Mus musculus: one gene and its partners. The protein of the gene in region 7 interacts with the protein of the main gene of each other region in a pairwise test. Links are inferred from orthologs where the notes say so. Each region holds a gene or a part of one and is shown on either strand. Other genes may lie near its edges.

Region 1 (4,227 bases), on a different chromosome or scaffold from region 7:
ACAAAATAGTCTTTTCAGTCCCTCTGGGAGCCCTAGATGTGGCAATAGAAAAACCCAGGGCTCAAATTTCTGGAGACGGGGACTGGTAGACAGTCATTTAACAAGGGAGATCAGAAGACCATTCAGGAAGCACCAGGGGCTTATCTGCAGGAGGAGGAAGAAAGAGAGGCTGCGGCCTGTGCAGTAGTGAAGATGGGAGAAGCTTTGGGAACAGTTTAAGGAAAAACCTGCAGAAAAGCAAAGTGGAGGAGTGATTTTTCAGTGGGAGATAGCACCTTCAAAGTTCGACGAGAGAGAGGAGAGCCACAGTACAAGTCAGTTTGAAAAGCACAAATGCTGTCTGGAGATGAGTGCCTATGATCCCAACACTTGGCTCAGGAGGCCAAGGCAGGGGGATTGAGAATTGGAAAGCACCCCTGGTCTGTGTAGTTGTGACCTCATCTCAAAAATAAAATAGCTTAAGACTTTTTTTAGTCCCATGGGAAAAGGTTAGCCAGTTTAAGTGCTGTACAGCAGTAACCAACTTACAGGTAATATCTCTCAGTCATATTCTAAAAATTTTAGAGTGCTTATCACCATATCCTAACAGTCACAGCCAGTCCCCACCCCCATGATTCCACCAAAAAATGAGGCCAACTTACCTTTTCCCGTCGCTTCTCTTCCTCATGCTCTTTATTGCCTCTGGGAACTCCTTTCCTTTCTTCCAGCAGCTCCCTAAACAGGTCCACAGGGCCAGAACTTGGAGCTCCTGGGTCTGCTGCTTCCAGCTCAGGCACTGAGTTTCGTTGCCTGGCTTTCTTCCGTAGGAATTCCGTACGGGCCTATGAAGGGTTATAGGGAAGACATTCAGAACCCAGAAGTGCTGAGGATACAAGAATGGTCCATGGGCAGGGAGGGCAGTGGTAGCACACACCTTTGAACCTAGCATTCAGGAGACAGAGGCACATGGATCTCTGAATTCAAGGCCAGCATGGTCTACAGAGTGAGTTAGTTCCAGGACTACACAGAAAAATCCTGTCTTGAAAAGAGGGGGTGGGGGTGGGGCAAATATTGAGAGCAAGAAGAGATACCATTTCTAACTTGGAGTGGAGAATCGATGTTTTTAGACAGTAAACTGGGCTATCAGAGATAGTTCAGAGAAGATCCCTGACCTAAAACAGAAGGCTTCCCAGTCTCAAGTGATGCAAGGAAAACCCACTCAGGTATAGGTATAGGTGGCTTGTTCAGCCATAGAGCCCCTGCCTTGTGTGTAGTTCCAAATTCAGTCCCCAACACAAGTATGTATATACTCCCAAACTTGTAAGGTAATCAAATATTGCTTTCTGGACAAAGGATCTAAATCCAAGGTATGGCTCCAGGTCACCACTCCAAGTACAACCTGACCCCAGATAGGGATGGTCTCTGATTCACAATTCTCCCCTTTCTGCAGCCTTAGTATCTGGGATTAATTACAAGCGTCACCTTTTTGTTTGTTTGTTTTGTTTTGTTTTGTTTTTTAAGACAGGGTTTTTCTGTGTAGCCCTGGCTGTCCTGGAACTCACTTTGTAGACCAGGCTGGCCTCAGAAATCCACCTGCCTCTGCCTCCCAGGTGCTGGGATCAAAGGCGTGCGCCACCGCCACTACCCGGCTTTTTTTTTTTTTTTTAAGCCCACACTAATTCATGATCAGATTGGCCAAGGGACTTAAGTGTAAACCAAACTAATCGAGTAACTTAGAGTCTGTGATGTGTGTGTGGTCTTCAATACTAGCGTTCAAGTGGAACAGGCAAGCTGAGTTCAAGACCAGCCTGGTCTACGTAGCCAGTTCCATAACAGCCACGGCTACACAGACCCTGTTCCAAATAAAACCTCCAGATGCTCTTTTCTTGGCAAGCAATGAGGGAGGGAGAAAAGACATGCCCAACGAAGTGGACCCCGGCTTGTCCGCCCTTTGCCCTCCTTGCTGAAGCCGTTGTACTCAGAGCAAGGTGACCGCACCCCTCCAAGTTGTTCTAAGAGGGAATTTCTCAAAGCAAGCGCTCAGAAGGAAGGGAGCATACACAGAGTGGGTGATCAGTAATTAACTTGTGCGGGCAACCTATAAAGTAATCAGAATATTTGTCCAACTCTTCCAGTATGCTAGTCTCTGGTCCCTCAACACCAGTGGGGAAATCTAGGAAGGTTTCTTGGAAGTTAGCACAGGATTTTCAGAGAAACATCGTCGAACACACAGACCCGCTCCCGGCACCGAGTGATAGCTAGGCCCGCCGCGCTTCTGGGCGGTCCCCAGGCTTACCTCTTGCTGGGCGAGCAGCACCCTCCGCTCCCGCTCCTTCTCCTCCTCCCGGGCCTGGGCCTCGTCGCGCCGCACGCGGGCAACATTGTCCTTGTTCCGGACGTGCCAGCTCTTCTTCGGCAAGATATTCATGGCTCCAGTGCCGACCTCGGACTGTCAGGCCCACTCTTCAGCACTTCCGATTGGCTCGAGGATGCTCCCGCCCCATGGTTCCACCCTTGCTCGTGCATTGGTTCTGGGCCAATTGTCACGTCCCATCCTAGCCTTGTTTAGAGATTATTGGCTGAGAGCCTTCCATCTCAGCCAATCCTAAGCATTTGTAACCTGAGTTGCTCCACCCCCGGACGCTGCTTGATGAGGCTGTTGCCTGTCTATTCCTTTAAGCAGACATAACCTAGCTCTTCAGGCCGATTTGGACCTGGCCCCTCCCCAAACCCCGTCCGAGGCTTCAGAACGGGGTTTCAAAACGCAAAGCGGCCTTGACTGTTGTTTATTAATACGGTTCAATTGAGAGTGTAGCATTCGGGTGGCAGAGGGCGGGGAATTTGGTTCCAGAGATGAAAGAGTCCCATCACTTGATATGAAGTCACTGAAGCTGAGGGGCTGAAGGTTCAGCCAGACTTATCAGGAAGTTCCATTCCTTGAGCTCAGAGCCACAGCTCGCTGGGCCAGGAAGACTTTATTCTGCACTTCCTGCGGGCAAAAAGGAGCGAAAGTGAAGCACACCTTTTCATTCTTCTTTCATAGTCTCATAGAGCCCTTTCCGGGGAAATCAGCCTGGCTCACCGTCTCTATCTGGCGTTTGAGCTCAGAGATGAGGCGTCCGTAACAGTTAGCCAGGGCTACGGTATACATCATCAGGATGCTATGGAAGACAGGAATGAAAATCACTCTAGAAAAACAATCATCTTCATCATATGGCTCCTTAGAAACCAGGCTGGAGAGATGGCTCGTAACCGGAGCACTGGCTGCACTTCCAAAGGACCGGGGTTCAATTCCCAGCCCCACATGGCAGCTTACAATTGTAACTCAAGTTCGTTACTTCACACAGACAGTCACACTGTCCAAATACCAACACACATAAAAATTAAATGAATAAGTAAATTAAAGAAACCAATATCAGGATCCTCAAATCCCTTAAAACCCTTTTTGAGACTCTGAACACAAGTCTTTATCCTCTCTCTTTAGACCCAAAAGTTCAGACCCTTTAACCAGAGGTTAAACTAGAGGTTCAGGCTCCATACCTCCTCCCCCTTCATCAAATCGATAAATCCACACCCTAGCCCTCCTTTCCTCAGACCAGGAATCCAAACCCAGATGTCTTTTCTTAGACCCTAAGCATTCACACTCCGACTCTCCTGCTCTTGATTTATAGGCATCCCGGCCAGCCCCACGTCTCTGTTGTATATAGGCACCCAGCCCACCTCTCTAGCACTCAGGTGCCCAGAAACTCCTTTCTCTTTCAAACACTAAATTACACACATTCAAAGTCTGACTGCTCACCTAGAGAGGATCAGAAGAGGTACAGTAAAAGCTTGGGTTCCCAGAAAGTAGAGAAAATTCTGGGCAGTCTGAGGGAGGCTCTCAATGGCCTCAGGGATCTGGGCCCAAATGGACAGCTTCCCGCGGAACGGGCCACACAGTTTCGAAGGTGGGATCCTGTAGGGGGAGACACACTGGATTCAGTCAAGTCGAGCTAGAGTGAGAACAAACAGAAGTCTCTCGTACTTACAGGAAGATACTGTAAAGCACGGGAACTGCAGAGATCGCCAGACCCACAAGGAGAACCAGGGGGAAAAAGAAGTTTGCCGTGGATGCTCGGAAGGTGCGGGAAGCCGGTGAGTAGATGGAGAAGAGGGTTATCTGGTAGGGAGAGGCGAGGAAATGGAGGTGTAAGACTCAAGAGTCAATCCTTTGCTTTTCCCTGTTTCTTATCTTGGAGCTTTGGCCTC
Region 2 (3,500 bases), on a different chromosome or scaffold from region 7:
ACTGCCCTTCCACTTTACACTTCGGTGAGCCCTTATAATACAAGGTACATGGAAACAGACCTCTAGGACCTCTTAAGCATCATTGAGTTCCCAGCCTACATATAGAACCTACTAACTTGGAGGACTCCAAAGCCTCCATGTCAAGCAGAGCTCTGTGCAATAGCAGTGTGAAGCTGGGGGAGGTGGCTCCCTTCTCTGAGCCTGCTGCTGCCTGAGCCACAAAACAGAACACTTGTGTTAGTCTTTCTGTTGGTGTGTGAAAGAAGCTGTAAGAAGGTGACCACCAACCCAGCAGAGATCCACACATCTTCCATCCACAGAAAAATAACGGAGACTGATAATTTTTGTTGTTGTTGTTCTTTGCTTTATTCAAATGATGCTATGGTTTTTATTCGCTTCTTTTCTCTCTCATCATTAACTGTAGCTTCAGGCATGTTTAGGAAAGGGAGCAACTGTGTGCACCATTTATCAAGCAAAATATATGCTAAACAAATGCAACACAGTTTTTGCCTTCAATGCGTTTGAAAGATTTTACATGTAAATCTGTACTGTGTCACAACAGCATGACACAGAAATGTTCAGGTTTGGAAAGAAAGTCAACTGCACGTGAAACCGAGAGGAATTCTATAAACACAAGGAGGATTAGCTCAGCATTTTGAAGCTATGAACCTTAGTACTCTATAGGCAGCTTCTAAAGCTGGAGGAAGGAAATGTTTAGTTAGAGCTGTTTGTTTAATGTATACACCAGATGAGAACAAGAAATTCAAAGGACAACGTAACTACCACTTCCTCCCTGTGCCTGTACATGGACCCCACTACTGAGACACTGGTAAAGCTTTTCCCAAAACCCAGGGAACTGCATACTAAAGAGATGGCAAAGATACTTTAGCCGAAAGATGAAAATATACTCCAACTTCCTAAGAAAAAATTAAGCAGTTAATACCTCCTCCTGCTTCATAAGAGATGCTCTGGTGGCCAATCAGGTGCTACTTCTGTGAATAACATTTGCTATTTAATAAGAGAAGTGGCTGGCTCTGAAAAGCAATCTGTCTGATGAGGTCTTCAAACTGTAATTAGGAGGCTATTCCCTAAATTGGCTTACAGTGCCTATGGGATTAGATGAACAGGGAGGAGAGGCCTCAGTGGTCCAGAGGGGGCCAAGGAGGGAAAGCTGACAGTTTCCTTTGCATCCATTTCTATGCTCCTCAGTAACACTATGAATAAGTGCTTCCTTCCCATTAACCTGATAACACATATCCACCAGTTTAAGGACAATGTATGGAACGCTTTCGTGGTCCAGGCACTGTGTTTGATGTGGATAAAATGAACACATTATATATGACTCTTCTACTAAAAGCTTACAACCTAGTGGGTAAGTGACAGTCATACTGTACCTCAACACAGGAGGAGTAAATAGCCAGCCAAAGTGTTTCAAGTCACAGGAGCAGTACCTACAAAGGCCCAGAAGATGCAGAAGGCATGATGTGCTTTAAGGCCAGTATGAGCAGAGCGGCGTACCAGGATACAGTGCCACAGGACTGCAAAGACTGGAAGCAGGCCAAGGCCAGATCACCTAAAGCCTTCTTGATCACAATAAAACTTTTGGGCTTTCATTTTTTTGGGGGGGGAGGGCCTCGAGACAGGGTTTCTCTGTGTAGCCCTGGCTGTCCTGGAACTCACTTTGTAGACCAGGCTGGCCTCGAACTCAGAAATCCACCTGCCTCTGCCTCCCGAGTGCTGGGATCAAAGGTGTGCGCCACCACGCCCGGCTGGGCTTTCATTTCTTAAAGACTGTTTGAATTATGAGAATGGCACAACCCAATCTACACTTTGAAACATTCAAGTTCACTTAGGCTGTAGGACTGGACTGGAGTGGGGCAGAGAGTAGCTGTAGCTCTAGAAGCTCAACTGGCCTGGTAGCCTCAGGAGTCTTCTGGTTGGAGATGGTTAGTTCTGCTCCTGTGCTAAGCTAGTTTGTCAAATCCAGGGCACAGACAAATCTACTGAGACAGAGACGAGAGCAGGAAGGCGAGGAAATGGAAGCCCAGAGAGGAAGACCAGGACCAGAGGACCAGGCCAGTTGGAGGTGGAGCTAGGACCAGATTTCAGGTTCTCTAGGTTTCTCAGCTGCAGCCTGAGGGTGAGACGCAGCTCATCCTCCAGTCTCGAAAGCCAGGCACTACATGTATTGGTGTCTCGTCTGAACCAAGCTGACTTCCTGGAGGGTCTTCTCCAGATTCTAATACAGGGCTCACAAAATGGACCTCGGGCCGTAGCTAGCCCATTAAAATATTTAATCTGTCTCAAGAGTTTCTAGTTTATTTTGAGGCAGTCTCATTGGTCCTCCGGCCTCTAACTCCTAAGAGCTGAGATAACAGACACAAGTCAGCACTCCTGGCTGCCAGACATTTTTAAAAGAGAAAAGTGGATTATTCCAAAACATTTAGACAACAAACGATACTTTGTACAACATTCAGGATTACTAGCTTCTTTTGAAACTAAAAATTGAAGCATCTGTTAATAGGAATTACCAGGCCTACATTTCTACCCTGCAGTCTTCTGCAAGAACTGGGCAGAGGTGACTCAGAAACAGGCCGCGTGACTACTTCCAGGTATGGTGGTTTGAATGAGAATGGCCCCTTTAGAATCATATATTTGAATGTTTGGTCCCCATTTTGTGGAACTGTTTGGGAAGGATTATTATGTGTGGCCTTGTTGGAAGAGATGTGTCTCTGGGGGTCAGTTTTAAAGTTTCAAAAGCTTTTAGCTATGCTCCATCTCCATGTCTGCCTGCCTGCTACCATGTTCCCCTCCATGATGGTCAGAGACTAACCCCCTGGAACTATGAGACTCGAATTAAGTGCTTTCTTCTTTAAGTTGCCTTGGTCATAGTGATTTGTCACAGCAATAGAAAAGTAACTAAGACAGCAGGTTAGCAGACCCTTACACTGCCCCAAGAGTCAGTCACTACTCTCCATTATTGTTTTTCAAATTACTTACTTGGTCACTGTAACATTTGAGTTTAACAGGTAAGAAATATAGAAATAAGAGAGCTTTTTTTTTATCCTAAATTTTCTTTCATAAATTTCTTCCCAAACAAAAGGGAACATTTCCTTCTGACCTGATCAAACCTCCTTTATTCCAAAAGAAACTCTGAAGACAGACCCTTACAATAAGGCACCTTACCTCTGGGAAGCTGGCCATATTCACCAGAATCACCTGTGGCGACTTCATGGAGATCTGGCCAATCTGATTTAGAGCAACCTTCCCATCAGCAGTTACCACAGTAATATGATCAAGGGATCCTAAAGAAAAAGTAATAAGGTTTTAGGATTCTAAAGGACCTTAGAAGCTCATACCTCTTTATCTAATTCAGATTCAACAAACATACATAAGCATCTTACCAATGTGACAAGGCTGTTCACAGGAAGTTTCAGGCAGTGGAAAGAGTATGTAATGCTAGCAGAATCACATTGGAATTCCTTACTGGTACCAAGGTG
Region 3 (4,218 bases), on a different chromosome or scaffold from region 7:
CTTTCTGGATTGTCCACCACACTGCTCTCATACTCTAGTGACGCTAGGCCTCTTCCCCGGGGAAGATTGTGTTCCACCCCAGCCTCTATCCTTGCTCACCTCTCCTGGAAACCCCTCCTCCCAGTTCTCACTAGGCCAATCTGTACGCATAGCTCCCTATGCTCTATTGAGTAGAAGGGCCTTCCTTCTACCTCTCACTCCACCTGCAGAACTGGCCTCTGCGTTATTCTGCCCTCCATCGTTCTCCACCCTTGTAGCTCATTCGGTCTTGATTCTCACAGATGTTATTTTTGGATTTCACCCCCACTGCAGCCCAGAAGGGCCTTCAAGTCAGATCTGTCTTGCTCATCTTTCTGTCCCAGGGCCTAGTTCAGCATAAAGAGGGAGGCTCCGTGGCTTGGGGGTTGGGATGGTTCAGTCAAAGAAAAATGTGCCTAGCATGCACATGGACCTAAGTCTCATTCCCAGTACTAAAAATAAAAAGGAAAAAGACACAAAATAAAACGGTTGGTTTTAGTCTTGTATGGTAGCACACTCCTATATTCACAGCATTCAGCAGTGGGGAGGCAGGAGGATCACCACAAAGGTGAAGTCAGCCTGCGCTACATAGCCCTAGCTCAGAATTAAAGTATGGTTAATTCTGTTGTTTATAAACTTAAAAGGCACTGTTGTAAGCCAGCCTGGGCTATGTAGCAGATTCAAGCCACCAGGACTACATAGTGAGACTCTGAACAAATTAAAGTCTCCTGGAGAATGGCTGTAGCCTCCCAAGCTCCACACACTCCTCCACCTGACCCTGGGAGCCTGGGATTGTTTTTCTACCCTTGGCCTCAGGAGACCCTGGCAGTGAGTTGCTGTTCTGGGAAAGCACAGCCAGCTTGGGACCCAAACAATTCCCATGCCCTTCTCTCCACAGTGACTCCAGGCTCCTCACTGTGGGAAGTGTGTGTCAGGGCTATCCCAATCGTGAAGAGGGGCTTCCAGAATGTTGCTTCTTCATGCCCAAAGTCATAGGCGCTACCTGCTGCAGATCGTGCAGGTGGTAAGGCAAAGGAGAGAGGTGAGAAACCCTGGTGTGAAAAGGCTGAGCTTGCTACTCTGAGGTGGTAGTGTCCACAGAGCAAGACAGGTGTAGGACTGTATGAAGAAGCACAAGGCCCAGGCCCTGGGACATCAAAGAACCTGCTCTCACATCCCTCCCTATTCCTCAACTGTCTCCTGTGTTCTCTGGGCTGCTGAGACGGGACTTGGAGAAGGACAGAAAGGCAGAGCCAGGTCAGTTAAAGCAACAGAGAATGCATTTACCCCCCAGGAAGAAGCAGCTCCCACAGGATGGAATTCTGGATTCTCCGGACCCCCCAGAAGCCCCAGCAACTCAAAAGCTAAAAGGACCCATAGCTAGAAGCATTCCCAATCGTCTCCCTTAGTGTTGCTATTAGCTAGGCAATGTCACAGTGCTAAGTATGTGGAAGCCTAGGTGACCTGTTTACCAGGTGGATGCTCGCAACTTTATTCCTTTCTAACAGATGGAGATAACAAGGCACAGAGACAACTTTCCAAATTACAGCCAGAATTTGGTCCCAAGCAAGGTGGTTCCAAAGCCCGTGCTCTTAACCATTATATCCCTGGGGGCAAAGACTGCACGCTGACCCTAGCCCCCCTTACCTCCTCATTGTCACCCTCGGCCTGTTCCCTCTGGGGGGCCAAAATTGCTGCAGTGGTTTGGGAGGAAGGGACATAAGGACACAGACAGGTCCAGGTCAGAGCCATATGAACCCCTGATTGCCCAGGAGACCCTCAGTAAGTGGGTGATAGGGGGGAAAGGGCAAAAGTGGGGGCAGGTCTGAGGAATGGGGCAAATTCGTGGGCAGCTTTGAAGGAATCTAGAAGTAGGAGTCATAACCCCGGGGTGACGGATCCTCTAGGCCTTACTGTCCTTATGTGTCCATTCCCTGGGAATCCCGGGTCCTCTAGGCTGCGCTGAACAACATGACTCTCCACTACCCCAGGATAGCCTTGGGCTTTAAGGGGGGAAAACGGTGGAAGCTGAGTTATGAGCCCAGGGACCCTCACTGCCACCAGGCCAAGAAACATTCCCAATGAAGGATCTGGGGAGGATTGGGGGGCTGCAAGTTGGCAGAAACATCTTTCCCATCTCAACAGGAGAAAGAAATTTGAAGATTGAGGCTCTGCCCTTTAGACCACCTCCCTTCACCCCAAACACAGGATATGAAGAAGAGGAGAGAAAGGGTCAGGGTCCTTACCAGGTCCTTAGAGGTGCCGAGTCTCTTGAGGCTGTCCAGGGGCAGCAGGTCAGCCGAGTCCTTGTGCAAGAACTGGGTGGCCTGTTTGAGTTGGCGCTGCTGGCTCAGGTGGGCTCGGTCCCGAAGCGAAGCTTCCTGTTCTTTCCTGGAGTCTCCCTCATCTCTCCTGGCCTCTTGCCCGGTGCTCATGGTCTTCTGTGGAAAGCAGACAGGGTGTATGGGAGTCTCTCTCCACCTCCTTTTTGCTCCCAGCTCCCCCTATAGCTTCTGCCTTTCTCTGTCTCCGGACTGCGGCTCTCCCTCTGACAGGAGGGTCTCAGCAGGAAGAAAAGAAGAAATAAATAAATAATAGGCGAGAGCAGCGCGTCAGACACCAGTTTCCAGAGATTGCAGTAGAGGGAGCGAGGTTCCGGCTGGAAAAACCCAGCCCTAAAGGAGAGGGAGGGCGAGCAGGGCCTGCAGCTGGTAGGCTGCAAAGCCTGCAGCTCTGGGGTCCTGCTCAGAGTGGGTGGTGGATGGTTGTGTGTGTGTGTGTGTGTGTGTGTGTGTGTGTGTGTGTGTGTGTGTGTGCGCGCGCGCGCGCACGCGGGTGTTGTAAACTGTCAGGAGGCTGTGCCAAGTCATCAGAGAGAGGTGAGTGCCATTGTGTGGGGGCGCATGTTTGGTATGTGTGGGGAAGCAGGCATGCATGTCCCTTGTCTCTTGTGTTTTGTGGACCGGCTCTGCTGTCCCCTTCCAGTCTCTGAACAGTCAGCCACCCAGCTCTTTTCTCATGCTGCTGTCCTTTGCTACTAGGGTTTGAGGTGCTGGCCAGAGAGGGACAGTATGAGAGTGGCCTCCCCACCTCTCCTCCATCTGCCATCAGCCACCCTCCTTGCTTGGCCTCTCCCTGTCAGTCCCAATATCTCTCTCGAATTGCAAAGAGATCAGGAACGTTCTAGTAATACTCACCTCTGAGATCTTCCCTGTTAGACGCTGAAGTCCCAGTGATTCCATGATGAGGAATTCTGGGAATGTTCTGGGCCTAATACATCTCTCCAACTGGGTTAGTCTGTGACTCACCTTGGTCCTCTCCCATCAGAATCCCAACTACTTGGGAAGGTGAGACAGGAGGATCACAATTCAAGGCCTGCCTGGACTACAGTGTGAGTTCACTCTCAGGCTTTCAATTTAGTGAAATATATATATATATATATATAATTTGTTTATTATATGTAAGTACACTGCATCTATCTTTGGGCACACCAGAAGGCATCTGATCTCATTACAGAGGGTTGTGAGCTACCATGTGGTTGCTGGGATTTGAACTCAGGACCCTGGAAAAGCAGTCAGTTAAGAGACCTCAGTTAAGAGCAGCTCTTAACCGCTGAGCCATCTCTCCAGTCCAATTTAGTGAAATCTTAAAAATAAAAAGAAGGGGGCTGAAGAGGTGGCTCAGTAGCTAAGAGCATTGGCTGCTCTTCTGGAGGACCAGGGCTCAATTCCCAGCATCCACATAGTGGCTCACAACTGTCTGCAGCTCACAACTATCTGTAACCCCAGTTCCAGGGGGTCCATGGCACCAGACATGCCCGTGGTACATATATACATATACATGTACATATGCACAGAGGCAAAATACCCATACACATAAAATAAAAATAAAAAGAAGGGTTGATGTCCCAGAGAAGGGGGATGCTAGTGGGGTGAGCACCCTCTTAGAGGCAAAGGGGAGGGGGGTTCATGGAGAGGAGACAAGGAAGAGGGATAATATTTGAAATATAAACAAAAAGATTAATAAATAAAAAACAAAACAAAAAATTAAAATAAAAAGAAGGGCCTGGAAAGATGGCTTGGGACTTAAGAGTGTTTACTGCTAGCCCAGCAGTGGTGGTGCATGCCTTTAATCCCAGCACTTGGTAGGCAGAGGCTAGACGGATCTCTATAAGTTGGAGGCCAGCCTGATCTACAGAGC
Region 4 (3,799 bases), on a different chromosome or scaffold from region 7:
TCCAGACCTAGATGTCATGTACACATTATGTAGCTGAGAGAAACTGAAGCTCAATCACTAAGCATAGCTGGGACTTCACCTAGAGGTAGTGCTCACGGTGGGGACTGTCTGGACCATCCTACAGGACAGATGGTAGCAAGGATGTTCTCAGTGGCTTCTGAGCTAGTACTTGGGGTTAGGACACAGAATGTTCTACACGGATTTCCTTACAATAAGGCTGAGGACGTGGCTTGTGTGCACAAAGGCCCTAGCATCATAAAACAACAAAACAAACAAAAAACAGTTCAAAGCATAGAACCTAACACATAGTAACTCCAAGACTGGCCCCAGCTGGAGTCAATGTTCCATGCCTGTAATCCCAACAGCATTGAGGAAGGTCAAGAGTGTTTGAAGCTAGCCAAAGGCTATACAGCAAGACCCTGGACCACACAGCAAGACCCTGTCACAAAAACAAATGAGCCCCAAAGATGTAAATTTCATTCCAAAACCAGAGACAGCCATTTTATAGAAAATAGGATTTATTTATCACATTTGAGATGAACACACAGGACTGTCCCAGAAATCTTTTACATATATATTATTGATAGATTGGATTTATTCAACATACAGAAAAAGCAAAGCCTGCCAGAAGACACTTCCCTCTTGAGAACAGCATGAGGTCAGGCAGTGTCTGTAAGTTTTCACCACGGGAATTCACATTGAGCAGAAAGACCGGGCTCACAGGTCTGTTCCCAGGTCCTGCTGCTTCTATTTCACAGGCTTTCAAAAATCACAGCAGCAGCCAGCAGGATTCACAGTGACCAGGAGGGAAGGCATTGACGCTGGGACTTTCACAAGAGCCCTGAGTGATGTCTCAGAAGCCAGGCTGGGAGGTGGGGGGGTTGGGGGTGTCTGTGGCTTGTGCCAACTCAGGTCACACATGGACAGTGCCGTGAGTGTCACAGCAACACAGGTCACACACGGACAGTGCCATGAGTGTCACAGCTTTGTTTCGATGAGATCTTGAATTCTATGTTAAATTATTGCAAGGAGGAAGACAACATTAAATAGCAACTGCTATCCCCACTGATCAAGGAAAAGAGTCAGGAGCCTTCCCTGACTAACTGGTCAGCATTGCCAATGTCCAAGGCACACGCACATGGCAATCACGGGGACATCGGCTGAGGGTACATGGCCCGATGGCCATACTGATGCCCAGAAACGGGATCTGAGGCAGGATGGACAGTGGAGAGCAGCCTGGTCTGGGAGGACCATGCCTGAGTGGCCTTCCTCAGACTCAATAGAAGTGGGTGCAAACTGTTCTTTGGAGAACCTGGGTGAATCAAGACATGGATGCCTGCTGCTGTCCTAGCACCTTGGCTGTGAGTTAGCTCAACTGGCCACAGTCTGTGATGACAATCTTCTTAGACGTCTTCCCACTTTTTGAGCCGAAAGATTCTATTTTCTTCACAACATCCATGCCCTCTTTGACATGGCCGAACACGACATGCTTGCCATCTAGCCTGTGGGGAGGGTTGAGCCAAGTAAGAAAACACCCAGCATCCTGGCCACTCGGCAGAGTTGTTTGCCAAAGGAACACCACTACCCTGAAAGCCTAGTTACCGCTTGTGAGCTCTTCAGCTGCATTCCACTGGATTCCAGGCTCCCAGTTCTGTCACCCTGGGCTTTGTCCGGCAGCCTGATCTGACTTTTGGTGACCTTACTTATGAGAAGTAGGTTGTTCTCATTCTGCCCAGGAAAATGATGGGCATTGCAGCACTCAAAAAAGCAAGACATCTGCACAACAGACTATGGCAAACTGAGCACCAAATAAGTGTGAGAAGCCTGGAGGTGTTGAGTAGCTCATGATCTGTGAGTTCCAAGAACAGAACAGGGACTTAGCTCAGCTCCAGCACAGCTGAGAATAAGGACAGCCTGGGGCAGAGCTTTAAGGCCCATCAAGGCTTCCATGGAAGGAGCAAAGAAGATGGGGCTGGCACCAACATGCCCGACCCTGACAGCCCTGTGTGGCTGTCATCCCATCGCTTAGATTTCCTTAAAGTTGTGAACACAGGTTTTCTAAACTTCTCAGTCAGCTGTTGCCTCTGACCTCCTGGGACCTGAGGCCTGGGATACTCAGAACTCTATGCAGAGAAAGGTGTTGCTTGGTGGAAGTTTTACCAGGGAAAAGGCATTCTTAGACAGCATAGGACTGTGGGAAAGGAAGCTGGGAGGTCTGGGAGCCATGTGCGGCCATGCTAACAGTGTGTGAGGAAACTATTCCTCACAACCCATGATTCCATAAGCACATTCTATAGCAGAGGCAAGCCAAGGAAACATCAGGGTAAGCCAGGCAAAGTGGCTTCCACTCAGACCACCATGAGGCCACTTACTGAAGCATTTCCCAAATTCAGTGTGTGTGCAGGCAAGACACAAATCAAATTCTAGCCAACAGCACCATTGGGGTAGACAGGTGGGACACAGTCACAGAAAAACAAACTGTGCCTTGATTCCTCCCTGTCTCTCAGACAGACACACAGCGAGAAGCAAGCCACTGGCCCAGAGCAGACGGGCCAGCTGCAGATCAAGCTCCCGACTGTGACCTCCTCTAGCTTCCTTCTCAGAGGCCCTGCGTGTGATGTACTCACCAGTCTGTCTTTATCGTGCAGATAAAGAACTGAGAGCCATTGGTGTTGGGGCCTGCGTTCGCCATGGACAGGACACCTGTAAGACAAGCACGGGTGAGCTGTGTCCCCAGGAGGTACCTCACCTGAAATGTTGCTAGGGAGAGCAGGTGGCTCACACTCCATTGAGGACGCGTGAACCTGCAGATCCTGGGACCAGAGAACCAGTGCTGACACAGTCCCCAGAGCTTGTGTGCCTTAACTGACAGCTGGCTTTCAATGGGGGAATGCCTGGGTGGAAAGAGTTCAGGGGTCGCAGTGGGGGCGCTGATTGAAACCCCAGCTATGGCTTCTAGACTCTCCCACACTCTGCCTTGGGTTCTGCTTAAAGACTCCCCAACCAAATTCCCATAGGGAAATCTGTTTGGTTTTTGTTTGTTGAAACAAGTCTCACTTTGAAGCCCAAGATGGCCTTGACCTTTGGATTCTCCCACCTCGGCTTCCCAAGTGCTGGAATTACAATAGGAAGTTTGGTTTTTACAGAGTAATGAATGAGAAAGTTCTAGAGAAACCCAGTAAGAGATGCTGAGCTGCCTGGATGCTAACAGAAGGAGCATGACAAGGATGCCGGGCAAGTGTGGACCATAGCGACGGGATGAACAGCAAGAGCGCTGGACAGGGCTCCGCCCCACAGACCTGGCCCCACATGCTTCAGTGTGAAGTTCTCGTCGGGAAAGCGGCTTCCGTAGATGGACCTCCCTCCTGTGCCATTGTGGTTGGTGAAGTCGCCAGCCTGTACACAGAGGACCTTGTCACTAATTACCACAGCTGGCAGAGGGACAAGGGTCCCCTAGGAAGACAGCCCTCAACGCTCTCAAGGCTCGCCCTCAGGCAAAAGGGCCAACAAAACTAAAACCAAGCTTCTGCATTTGTAACCATGCCGTAACAAGTCTGGTTTCTGAACAAAAAGTATCCTGTCTGAGCTAGTTTTTTTCTGTAAACCTCAAGAAACGTGCCTGAGCTATTCAGATTCTCAACCCACAATTCCTAAGAGGACCACAAGCAGGTGACCAGGGGTCCTGTTCTCAGAGCCAGGCAGTAGGAGACAACCAGTTCCCCGCCCGAATCCTCTTCTATGCTCCAGCATCACCCTCCCAAAGCCCAACAGCTTTGTAGACACATGCTCCATGGGGGTA
Region 5 (3,500 bases), on a different chromosome or scaffold from region 7:
AGGCCCAGAAGATGACAGAAAAATCAAATGAGCTACTTCTTATGTAGAGACAAAGGAAGCTGTAGACCCTTCTAGAAATATGTGATGTGTTAGATACTGCCAAACTGAACATACTATCTCCTCTTCCAATGGACTCTCATGATTGATGTCTTCATATTTTCGGGGACTCAAAATTTGTAATAATAATGGCTTTCTTCTCTCCTTTGCTTCCTTCCCTCTTTCTCTTTCTTCTTTCTCTCCTTTCCCCTTTTAGAACTGCCATTCTTGTTTTATCCCAATAAACTATGACACATTCCACTCCCCCCCCCCACCACACATTGAGGTACTCATCCACATACTGTGTTTTTCCAGTTCACTTACCCCTTGGGTGGGGGGAATGTCATATACCCCTTGAGGTTTTATCTCTCCCACTGGAACTGAAAACACAGGGCCTTTTACTGAGGAAGGAGGGATGTCATATACCTGAAAAGAAACACTCAAGTTACCCAGAATGCAATGGAATCTGCTGTTCAAGTCCCTTGCTATTGTTTCTGTAAGGATTCATTCATCAGGTCATACATAGACTTGGTCGTTAGTAGTGTTTCATGTCATCAGGGGCTTCTGGATGTTTTCTTTATGACTCTTGGATTCTTTGATTTAGGTTAACTATGAAAACAATCTTACGTGAACTATCTGCTCTATAATTTAGATCATTTAAATTACACACTTCCAGAAATAAAATGACAAACCGATAAAGCAGATGAGAAATTTCTCAGATAAAAGACTAGACTTTCTGATAAGGCAAACCTAAGAAATACAATGTAAGCAACACCGACTGAAATGGCCTCTGGACAGGCAACCTCCACAAGGTAAGGTTGTGGCTGATGTCCCTCTTCTCCTGTACGTTCCTAAAGAGCTGCTGCCCCCTACACCAGCTCCCCTGGTGATGTTCCCATTGCCTACCCCTTGAGTGCTGTGGGAAGGAGGGACATCGTAGACATCCTTTTGGTATCTGGATGGGTACTCGTACACATAGCCATGGCCCGTCCTCACTGGGGTGATCACCTGTGGGTAAGAATACACAAAGATGTCAAACGTCAGCCCTGAGTCCTCAGCATACTTATCAGCCTGTGTTGAGAAACATATCCCTAATCAATCCACCAGAGAAAGGAGAGAAAGGAGAGAAAAAGAAGGAAGGAAAGGAGAAAAAGTATGGGAGGGTGAGAGGAAAGGAAGATACAAGGTCAGAATATGAAAGAAGTGACTGAAATATGTTTATTTCTTTTCTTAAGAATTTTCCAAAAATCTGATCAAAATTCATCAATGGACTCTCAATTCCCTATATTCAAGGAGATATGTTTAAATTATGAAAGTTGGACTGCAGGGATCAGCAGTTAAGGGCACTTGCTATGGGCACTTGCTATTCTTTTTTTTTTTTTTGAGACAGGGTTTCTCTGTATAGCCCTGGCTGTCCTGGAACTCACTTTGTAGACCAGGGTGGCCTCGAACTCAGAAATCTGCCTGCCTCTGCCTCCCGAGTGCTGGGATTAAAGGTGTGCGCCACCATGCCCGGCTGGCACTTGCTATTCTTACAGAGGACCTGGGATTGGTTCCCAGTACTCACATGGCAGCTTACAACCATCTTCATCTCTGGTCCCAGAGGCACTGATAGCCTCTTCTGGCCCCCAACAGCATCAAGCATGTGTGTGTGTGTGTGTGTGTGTGTGTGTATGTGTGTGTGTATGAATATATTATAAAACACTTGTATACATACATATAAAATAAAAATAAATTATGAAAGTCTTAGCTGATCCTTTCGGAGTGGCTAAAGTACAACAGTACAGTTTTTTTTTTTTTTTTTTTTTTTTTTTTTTTTTAACGAGGCTCCAAGGCTTTTGTAAAGAACATAAACAAATAGTTTGGCCACTTAAAATTCCTCTCATACCTAACCCAGTATGCCTCTTTATCTGAAATTATTATTGTGATTATAACTGAAAATTCCATGGGTCACCCTAATCCTTTCATAGAGCCGCTGATGAACAGTCCTGTTCTTATAATTGCCTGGGGATGTTCACTTTACTTTATGAGACAAGGGAAATACAGTTTCCCACAGTGTCTCTAGGAGACCCTGTTCCAACATCCTTGGATGGTCAAGGCCAAGGTGCTGTGTTTTGCAAGTAACCTCCATATATGTGTTTTGTATGTAACCTCCATATATCATTGGACACACTTCAAACCCTTTCCCAATGTTTTTATAGTCTACAATGTTATATAAACACCATACAAACACCAAGTCAATAGATGGTATGCAGTATTATTTAGAGAACAACGTCACACATTTTCACATCTTCATTGTAGATGCAATTATTTTCTAAATAATTTCTGCTTACAGCTGGTTGTCTCCATTGATATGGACTCCATGCGGCAGAGAATGAATTGTGTTGATGAGGAAACCCTCAGACTCTCAGCCGTGAAGTGTCTTGTCCTCTAGTCTCTCATCATCTCCCCATTTCCACTAGGGAAGCAAATACCCTACATCCAGCCATTGGCAGAAGTCAAATACATGCACCATGAACTCTGGCATCTAGAGCCAAAGTTAGCCAACAGAATCTTACCTAGTGGACTGGCCTGTTCACCCTCCCTCCCTCCCTCCCTCCCTCCCTCCCTCCCTCCCTCCCTCCCTCCCTCCCTCTTTTTATGTGGATGCACTCTCTGGTATAGGCACACGTGGAGAGCAGCAGTCAATCAACGTCATGTTTGTTTTTCTATTTCTCTCTACTTTATTTTATTGAGACAGGGTCTCCATACTGACCTAGAGCTCACCACTTGGTCAGACTGGCTGACCTGGGAAGCCCTGAGACTTGGCTCTTCCCGCTGACCATACCAGCACTGTGGTTATAGGCAGAAGTTTTTCCATGTATGTTGGGGATCTGAACTCAGGACCTCTCATTTATACAGCAAGCACTATACCCACTGTAGACTCTTATGTCCATAGCTAGGTACTGACTGGTCGTTTTAAAACACGATTTCAACGCAATCCATTTGCTCTTTCCAGGGTTTGAAAATGGCCCAGTCTTACTTTTTTTTTTTTTTTTCCCAAGCACCCCACTTCCAAACCATTAACAGTCCTACACTGCCCACCATGTCTTTGAAAAAAGACTTCAAAAATTAGGAGGAACTGTCTGTTCCCAGGAGGCCTTTCATCTTGAATGTGAAGACTCTGGCGTCAGGCTGCCTATAAAACTATGTGGAAAATGCCCCATGCCCACCTCAAGCTGAACAGAATGGAACACCACCAAGGTCACGAGTGTCTGTACCCCAGGGCCTCCCACATCTCCTGGTCCAATTTTGTTTAAAATGCCTGATGCTTACAACTGATTATTTCTTACATTGAAGGTAAAGGAGATTAGTATGCAGCAAACATTTCCACCCAGTCTCTCCATTGTCTCGGGTTTAGAAAAGGAACTCAGCGCTTTAAGTTTGTTGGCAGAGAGTGACGGAACCAGTTTCTGAGGAAGCCA
Region 6 (3,500 bases), on a different chromosome or scaffold from region 7:
CTCCCACACATGTAACTGGCCCATAAACACCCACTCCCTGACTTGCTCTTACCTTTCACTAGTGTGTGTGTGTGGGGGGGGGGGGGGGTGCTCTCGTCAGCTCCTCCAAAAAAAATCCCAAGGCTGCCCTTAAAGTATATCATAAACCTTCTGAAGGCAGAGACATAGACTGGACTTATACTGTATTAGCCAGATTTGAACTACATCAAAATCTTATGGCTATCAAAATAGGAGAAAATTAGGAAATATACTGGAGAAAAGCCCACTGAGAATTCCTGGCATCTAACACCTCTCTTTGAAGAGAAGCAATGCTGTCATCCTGTGACTATACCAGACTCCAGTCAGGCCCCCGGGTCTCCTAGGCCTCTAGGGTGTGGAATGGGGAGGCAGGGAAGAGCTGGTCGCCATCCAAACCAACAATGAGGCCAGAGCCAGCCTGTTCCCAGGCCACTGCAAAGACTGACAGCCAGCTGCTCACCATGTGCTCCATGCAGATGCTGATCTCGCCGTCGCTGTAGAAGGCCCCGTAGAAGCCCACGATGTACGGGGAGTTGCACTCGTGCAGTACCTGCAGCTCCCGGATGATCTGGTTCCGGATTGCGGGTTTGATCTCCAGGTGGATCAGCTGAAGGGAAGACGGGAGGGGAAAGCTTTTAAGAAGTGGAGTAAAGAAGAATGTCTTTCTTCAAGATTTAAGTTTCTGAAGGTAAGAAGAGAAACAGCTTTTTGGCTTTGCTTAAGGTGCTGATGACTGAACACAGAACCTTGAGCACGCTATACAAGTACTCTACCACCAAGCTACATTCCAGCTCTCTATGATTTTGAAAAAGGAACTCACCATATTGCCCAGGTTAGCTCACTTTGTAGCTCAGTCAGGGAACTCACAATCTTACTGCATCATTCTTTCAAACACTTACTACAGCCATGAACCCCTACACTTGGAAAAATAAATTTTAAAAATTATAATTATTAATTTACCTTTGTGTGGGTGTGTAAAGTCTAAGTATGTGTGTGTAAGCACGTGTGTGAATAAAGGTACTCTCATGTAATAGTGCACATGTGGAGGTCAGGTGACAACCTCAGGTGTCTGTCCTCACCTTCACCTGTATATGTGTATGCTTGAGTATATGTATGTGCATCATGTGTGTGCAGAACTGCAGTAAGCATGGTTTTAAGCAGCCATGTGGGTACTATAACCAACCCAGGTCCTCTGCAAGAGCAATAACTGCTTTTAACCGCTGATCCTTCTCTCCAGCCCCTGGACTGTTTTCCTGTGGCATATGCCAGGCTAGGTGGGCACAAGTTCCCACGACACTATGAAAACGCTGGGATCCCGGATACTCATACTACAAATCAAGCTATTATGTAGGATCTGGTGATGTAAACTCGAGTACTCACAGTAGTATAGCATACTTACATACTTTTACCCACTAAAGCCATTTTTAAAGCCAAGTTTCTAGAGATGAGGGAAATGCGGCCTTCTGGACACGGTTCAGTAGGGCTGTGGTGTATAAAGGCATGCAGAATTGACGTAGGGTAACCCTAATCACCCCACGGGCTCCTCCTTGACTTCAGGAACCTGATAGGATTGATTTAGCCAAAATGTCAGCTGTTGCCTAATATGTTTCAATATTGCCCCTTGTTCTAACCAGAAGACAAGTGACAGACACATTTAATGTTATTTAATAAGGTCACGCCACAGACAATAAGTATGACATATGACAATTGATGAGTTGTAACAGCTGACAGGAAATAAACAAGAGGTAAGTCCCCAAAATGGATGCCACTGGGAAAGCTAGAAGGAACGGCACAATACAAACATGGAGAGAAGAAAGAGCCGGGTGAGCTGAAAAACATGGTAGAACATAGTCTCTCTATACAGGGCACGTGTTATGACGTGGTGAACAGGAAAGGGATTGGGTCAAGACTGAAGCCATGAAACTCAGCTTTGGCCTGAGCATCAGTCACTAGAACTGGGTGTAAAAAAGCAGCTCCTTTCTGCACTTGACAAATGTATGGTTTTCAATCTAACTGCACAAAAAAAGTCCTAAGTAAAAACCTCCTTTTGCCAGGCGGTCGTGGCGCACGCCCTTAATCCCAGCACTCAGGAGGCAGAGGCAGGTGGATTTCTGAGTTCGAGGCCAGCCTGGTCTACAGAGTGAGTTCCAGGACAGCCAGGGCTATACAGAGAAACCCTGTCTCGAAAACAAACAAACAAACAAACAAACAAACCCTTTCTTTTACCCATTCAGGCTCCTAATTGATAATTAGCTGTTTACCCAGATAAGCTCACCTTTCTAGCCATAACCAGGCCAGATGGCTTGTGGGAGACCTTGAAGACCACTCCACCGTTGCCAGCTCCCAGTTCGCTGATCTTCTCAAAGTCATCATCCTTCAGTTCCCCCACCTTCTGCTTCTGCGTCAGAAAGGCCTCGAGCCGCTTCCGCTGCTGCTCGTCAAGCTCCAGCTCCTCCAGCTTCTTCTGCAAGGCCTCCAGGTTGGTCCTGCCCCGAGGAGGCCCAGGTCAGCACTGGCGCAGCACAGAGACGCTCGCTCTGCCCCGCCTGCCCTGCAGCCGTGCACTCCTGGGCCAAGCCCACAGGGGACTCAAGGAAGGTAACGCCCGAAAGAAAGAGTTCAACTCGCCAGGGCTCTGCTCATTTCAGTCATCCCTAGGGCCTCACCTTCAACCCTGCTTTATCTCACAACGCAGCATTGAACAATGAGGGTCCTGGATTTCTCTCAACATATTAAAGGTCTACAAGAGGAACCAAGGAATCTAGTAAGAGTGAAAACAAGCACCTAAGAGATGGCTCTGACATTAAAAGCACTTGCTGCTGCTCTTCTAGAGAACATGGGTGCTCCCCACACCCATGTCAGGCAGTTTACAACCACCCGTGACTCCAGCTCCAAAGGACCCAACGCCTCTGGAGCCGTCCTCATGTACACACACTCAAACTCAGACACACAGAAATACATGTCACTTTTTAAACCCTCACTAGAGACAGGTGTGGTGACTACCTATAATCTCAGCACTCAGGAAGCCGAGGCAAGATGACTGTGAGCTTTAGGCTGGTTTAGGCGGCTATATAACAAGCCCTACCTCAGAAATAAAACAATGAATTTTAATTACATTTACACAATACACAAAATAAAATTCACTAAACCTTCTCAACTGTAACCAAACCCACTTTTAATTGGAACAGAGCAGTGGAAACCTTCTGTTCTTTTTTTTTTTTTTTTTTTTTTTTTTGAGTTTTTCAAGACAGGGTTTCTCTGTATAGCCCTGGCTGTCCTGGAACTCGCTTTGTAGACCAGGCTGGCCTTGAACTCAGAAATCCGCCTGCCTCTGCCTCTGCCTCCCAAGTGCTGGGATTAAAGTCCTGCACCACCACGCCCGGTTTCTTCTGTTCTAGTATATGGTCTAGGAAGCAGGGCAATCAGAAAAGTTGGATCACAATCCATAAAAGACACACCTAAGTCTGTTACTTTTGTATAGC
Region 7 (4,273 bases):
GGGATGTTAGGGTGACATGCTGGGGATGACGTCACCATTACTCTGTTTTTCCGTGCGGTCAGGCATTCATGTTCAGAACTCTCACAACTACAGTTTTAAAATCTGGGCCCAATTGAGGGGCGGTGGGAGGAGATAGTACAACTCTCTAAGAGTTTCTGGCCAAGTTCCTCGTAGTTCCTCTGGGCTTAGCTTTCTTTCTTTTTATTTTAAAGATTTATTTATTTATTTCATGTATGTGGGTACACTGTCACTGTCTTCAGACACACCAGAAGAGGGCATTGGGTTCCCATTACAGATGGTTGTGAGCCATCATGTAGTTCCTGGGGTTTGAACTCAGGACCTCTGGAAGAGCAGTCAGTGCTTTTTTTTTTTTTTTTTTTTTTTTCCCCAAATGAGACAGGGCTTCTCTGTATAACTCTGGCTGTCCTGGAACTCACTCTGTAGATTGGGCTGGCTCGAACTCAGAAATCTGGCTGCCTTTACCTTCCAAGTGCTGGGATTAAAGGTGTGCGCCACCACTGCCCAGCAGGTCTCATTTTAACAGCACAGTTCTAGGTTGAAATCTTCAAGACAATCCTGAGGTAAAGTGGCACAGGATCAAACCCCAGACAGAGCACAGTGGTTTAGAAGGGCTGTCCCAAGGTTGCCCAGCTGGTAGCTGCACTGAGTCATGGCTTTATTATCGGCACAGGGGAACGGGCAGGAAACAGGTTTTTGTTTTGTTTAGTTTTCTAAGTGAAAATAACTCCTGTAATCCCGGTTTGTAGGATTGCTCACTGCGAACATGCAGAAGGGGACAGCCTGGAAAGGAACACTGACGACAGACCAGGTGCAGAGAACCATTAGTGGCATTTCTGGCAACAAATGCACATCGATGCTGCATAGCTCCTATTGCATGATACGTAAGCATGTCACATATAATCTCTATCACAGTGACAGTGTCCCCACGACCAGCTTGTCCATAAGGAAGTCAGGCAACTTTCCAGACAATGCCACTGAACGAGCCCGGAACGTCTGAGACCGATGCCAGGTAGAGTAGGTAGGACGGGTTTGGGAGCGTACAGCCCATTTGAGCCGCTGACACTACAAGTCCCAGCAGCCCTCAGGGCAGGGAAGGCATGGGGCAGCCAGAATCCGGATGGACTACAAATCCCAGCAGGCAAATCATGGCCGCAGAGACTACCAGTCCCAGGACGCATCGTGCCACACACAGCGCACACTGGGATTTGTAGTCGTCAGGGCAGCGTTAGTGTGTTCACACCCATCAAAGAGGACGTACATTCCTCAGATTGAACACTGGAGGATTTACTGCTTTAGCAAGTAACATGGACGTGAGATGGGGAAGTAAGGGCCCAGCGAGTCAACTCTCGGAGCAGGGGAGGACAACTGCGCATGCTCGTTGGAGTCCGTCGGCGAAAGCGCGCGCCAGAGGCGCCCAGAGCAGGCCCCGCCCCCTTCCCGACCGGCCCCGCCCTTGAGCCGGGAGCCCAGGGAGCCTGCGCTGAGGGCGGGGCGCAGGCCGTGGGGAGGCGCTCGCGGCGCCTGCGCAGAGCGGCTGCTTCTCTCGCGAGGACGGACGCCATTATCGCAGCTCCCCGACAAACACCACGAGAATTCCGCAGCCCACACGGTAATTGCAGCTCCCGCAGCCGGTCGCGCCTCCACTCCCCCTTCCCGCGGGGCGAGAGCGAGAGCGAGAGCGAGATCTCCGGCCGCCCCCGCCCCGCCCCGCCGCCAACCGTCGCCAACGGCCACGGGGCCGCACGCCGGGCTGGGCGGGGGCCGGCGGGCCGCGGGATGTCCGCGCGTCGCCTCCGCGCCTCCACCCGCCGGGGCTGCGGGACCCGGGAAGCGAGCGAGCGAGCGGGCGAGCGGCCGAGGCCCGGCGGCCGTGCTCGCGTGCGTTCGGCTCCGGGGCCTCGGCGCCTCCCGGGCCCGCGCCCGGCGCTCCTGTCACGGGCTCGGCGCGCGGGCGCTGTGGCCCTGGCTCGGCCGCCCAAGTCTCTCAGGACTGAGCCTCGCGCGCTGCGCCCGGGCCCCGCGCGCCGCCCCGCCGCCTAGGTGGCCCCATCTCCCGGCCGTTGTTGGCGCTATGCCCCGGTAACCGGGTGACTTCGCCCTGGTTGGCGCGTCCGCCCGCCTCTGCTCTGCTCTCTGTTGACATCGGGGCCGAGACTGGTGCTCGCTTCCCCACCTAGCGTCACGTCCCCGTCCCGCACAGCCTGGCTCTTTTTTTTCCTTGTTACTTGTGGTGGCCTTTGTTTCTCTGCTCCTGGTGACATTGTAACTTCTCGGAGATAGTGTGGAACCTCCGGCTTCCCTCTACCTCCTCTCTGCCTTTCTTCTAATCTGGGTTGGGGACGCTTTAGGCGGGTGCAGGTAGGTCCCGAGGTCTTTCTTTCGCTGCACGCCTGGTCAGCTCAGGACGCAGTGTTTCAGTCAGCTTTCTTCTTGAGTCCCCAGGGAGCCTCTGCCAAGGACTTCCTTTCTGGTAACTGTTTCCTCCCTGGACCGGCCTAAGGTCTTCTTGGCATTGGAACAGGTCTGCCCTTCGCAGGTATGCTCGGTAGGCGTGTCCTCGAGCGCTGGGAGATTGTCCCAAGAGCCTTTCTTAAAGTCGTTAGAGAGTTTGTCGCCCTCCCCCCCACCCCCGCCCCATTTGGGCACACTACTTGAGTTTCTTTATCTTTCTATTCCTTTTTGATTTTCATTCCAGGAAAGAACTTCAGTTTATCTTTCACCCCAGTGGCGCAGGACTTTTAATTCCAAGCACTTAGGAGACAGAGGCAGGTGGATCTTTGCCAGTTTGAGGCAACCTCGTTTACATAGTGTTTACATAGGCAACCTCCCCTATCTCGGGGAGGGGGCCGGCGAATCCACCATCAGAATTGTAGTTTCTGAGCAGGGCATAGAGAGGTACACACCTCTAGCCCCAGCACTTGGGAGGCAGAGGCAGGCGGATCTCTTAAGTCTGACACCATCCTGCTCTACAGAGTGAGTTCTAGGACAGCCAGAACTACACAGAGAAACCTTGTCTTGAAAAACGAAACAAACAAAAAAAAATTTCTGAATGTATTTGTTCTTTTCCTTTTGTTCAGTAGTTTGTTTCATGAATATGTTTTCTCTTTCAGGCTGAGAAAACTATTAGGGGTTCTTTTCAGTTCTCTTATCTGACTTCTTGTTTATCACTTTTGGGGGGTGGGTGGTAAATGTTAGCTTCTTGCTTTGGATGGCAGGTCCTCCAATAGTGCTAATTATTATTGCTTAAACCTTAGACTTTAAGGTAAGAGGAAACTGGCAGGGGGCCCTGGGTCTGTGGAGAGGGGTTTAAAAATGGTTTTCCCCACTAGTGTCTGGGAGAGGTTGTTACCTCAAGACTTGGAGGACCACATAACAGACACCTTATATCTGGGCTGTTTATGCATCTTCCAGGGTCTGTCTCCCTTTGCTTGGAAGCTGTTTTGCTTGTCAGGGGTGGCTGTGGAGACTGCTGAGGGCCAGGTGGGGCCTGGAGCCCCACTCCTGTGTCCTGCAAGCTATCTAGATCCTCTGTCAGAAGTTTAAGTCTTTGGCTGTGCTCTATTTTCTTGTGAGCTGATTGTACTGTAGTAAGTATTTTAGTGGGGTAAGTGGAGATTGTTTACAAGGCCACTCATCTTGAACAGGAATTTCAAAGCCTGTTGTCTTCATTCAGACAATTTGTCTCCTTCCATTTTTTGCTCTTTGTGACGGATGTGTGCCAGAACATGGTGTCTGGCTGCCTCCAGTTGACTGGGTGGTCCTTTGGTAGGGTACCGGGATGCAGAGGACTGGTCCCACACTGAGATTAGGATGCAGAGGACTGGTCCCACACTGAGATTAGGCACTTGATTTGACTTGTCTGGTGAGCTCTGAGTTTAGCCTCTTCACTTTGTTGCTGGGCTAGTGCAAGTAGCTAGCATATTATGCATGGTTCATTGATCCCGAGGTGCGCAGTGCAGTGTTTGCCGCGCCCATAGCACAGGGATAGCGAGGCGCTGTTTTGGGCTGGCACCCTTGCCCAGGGCCTTGCAGCAGAGTCCACAGCAACCCACACTTCATGAGCATTCTGAGGTCCACCTGCAGAGTTAGTCTGTGGTTAAGAATTTCAGAGAAACTGAATGAGCTTCCTCTTCCCCTTCATTTTCTCTCTTGGCTAACAGGAAGGTTACCTAGATTATAAAGACCATACACACGTTTCAATGTCCCACTGACATCTTTTGTTTGTTTTGTTTCAGGATGTAATTCAAGACTC

What was found.
Region 1: the proteins of Banp (region 7) and Leng1 interact in binary tests that used the Homo sapiens proteins (3 or more experiments, as listed by UniProt). The two-hybrid records come from large-scale screens. The link is inferred for Mus musculus from reciprocal best matches to the Homo sapiens genes BANP and LENG1.
Region 2: the proteins of Banp (region 7) and Mrrf interact in binary tests that used the Homo sapiens proteins (3 or more experiments, as listed by UniProt). The two-hybrid records come from large-scale screens. The link is inferred for Mus musculus from reciprocal best matches to the Homo sapiens genes BANP and MRRF.
Region 3: the proteins of Banp (region 7) and Nrip2 interact in binary tests that used the Homo sapiens proteins (3 or more experiments, as listed by UniProt). The two-hybrid records come from large-scale screens. The link is inferred for Mus musculus from reciprocal best matches to the Homo sapiens genes BANP and NRIP2.
Region 4: the proteins of Banp (region 7) and Ppif interact in binary tests that used the Homo sapiens proteins (3 or more experiments, as listed by UniProt). The two-hybrid records come from large-scale screens. The link is inferred for Mus musculus from reciprocal best matches to the Homo sapiens genes BANP and PPIF.
Region 5: the proteins of Banp (region 7) and Nedd9 interact in binary tests that used the Homo sapiens proteins (3 or more experiments, as listed by UniProt). The two-hybrid records come from large-scale screens. The link is inferred for Mus musculus from reciprocal best matches to the Homo sapiens genes BANP and NEDD9.
Region 6: the proteins of Banp (region 7) and Map2k1 interact in binary tests that used the Homo sapiens proteins (3 or more experiments, as listed by UniProt). The two-hybrid records come from large-scale screens. The link is inferred for Mus musculus from reciprocal best matches to the Homo sapiens genes BANP and MAP2K1.

Annotation. Positions count from the first base shown.
Region 1 is NC_000073.6:3,663,041-3,667,267, forward strand, and holds the start of Leng1 (leukocyte receptor cluster member 1 homolog), read right to left. Parts: upstream 2,801-4,227; 5' UTR 2,408-2,800; coding exon 2,276-2,407; intron 822-2,275; coding exon 642-821; intron 1-641. Other genes in the region: Tmc4 (transmembrane channel-like protein 4), read right to left, coding at 2,900-2,968, 3,062-3,140, 3,779-3,934, 4,008-4,138.
Region 2 is NC_000068.7:36,153,398-36,156,897, reverse strand, and holds part of Mrrf (ribosome-recycling factor, mitochondrial precursor), read right to left. Parts: intron 3,306-3,500; coding exon 3,187-3,305; intron 1-3,186. UniProt on the Homo sapiens protein: Responsible for the disassembly of ribosomes from messenger RNA at the termination of mitochondrial protein biosynthesis. Acts in collaboration with GFM2. Promotes mitochondrial ribosome recycling by dissolution of intersubunit contacts.
Region 3 is NC_000072.6:128,398,348-128,402,565, reverse strand, and holds the start of Nrip2 (nuclear receptor-interacting protein 2), read right to left. Parts: upstream 2,801-4,218; 5' UTR 2,460-2,800; coding exon of another isoform or gene 2,454-2,459; coding exon 2,265-2,453; intron 1-2,264. UniProt on the Homo sapiens protein: Down-regulates transcriptional activation by nuclear receptors such as NR1F2.
Region 4 is NC_000080.6:25,697,170-25,700,968, reverse strand, and holds the end of Ppif (peptidyl-prolyl cis-trans isomerase F, mitochondrial precursor), read right to left. Parts: exon of another isoform or gene 3,397-3,799; coding exon 3,300-3,396; exon of another isoform or gene 3,147-3,299; intron 2,721-3,146; exon of another isoform or gene 2,704-2,720; coding exon 2,628-2,703; intron 1,503-2,627; coding exon 1,367-1,502; 3' UTR 501-1,366; downstream 1-500. UniProt on the Homo sapiens protein: PPIase that catalyzes the cis-trans isomerization of proline imidic peptide bonds in oligopeptides and may therefore assist protein folding. Involved in regulation of the mitochondrial permeability transition pore (mPTP).
Region 5 is NC_000079.6:41,317,502-41,321,001, forward strand, and holds part of Nedd9 (enhancer of filamentation 1), read right to left. Parts: intron 1,045-3,500; coding exon 943-1,044; intron 463-942; coding exon 361-462; intron 1-360. UniProt on the Homo sapiens protein: Scaffolding protein which plays a central coordinating role for tyrosine-kinase-based signaling related to cell adhesion. As a focal adhesion protein, plays a role in embryonic fibroblast migration.
Region 6 is NC_000075.6:64,212,106-64,215,605, forward strand, and holds part of Map2k1 (dual specificity mitogen-activated protein kinase kinase 1), read right to left. Parts: intron 2,505-3,500; coding exon 2,294-2,504; intron 626-2,293; coding exon 479-625; intron 1-478. UniProt on the Homo sapiens protein: Dual specificity protein kinase which acts as an essential component of the MAP kinase signal transduction pathway.
Region 7 is NC_000074.6:121,949,019-121,953,291, forward strand, and holds the start of Banp (protein BANP), read left to right. Parts: upstream 1-1,473; 5' UTR 1,474-1,630; intron 1,631-4,273. UniProt on the Homo sapiens protein: Controls V(D)J recombination during T-cell development by repressing T-cell receptor (TCR) beta enhancer function. Binds to scaffold/matrix attachment region beta (S/MARbeta), an ATC-rich DNA sequence located upstream of the TCR beta enhancer.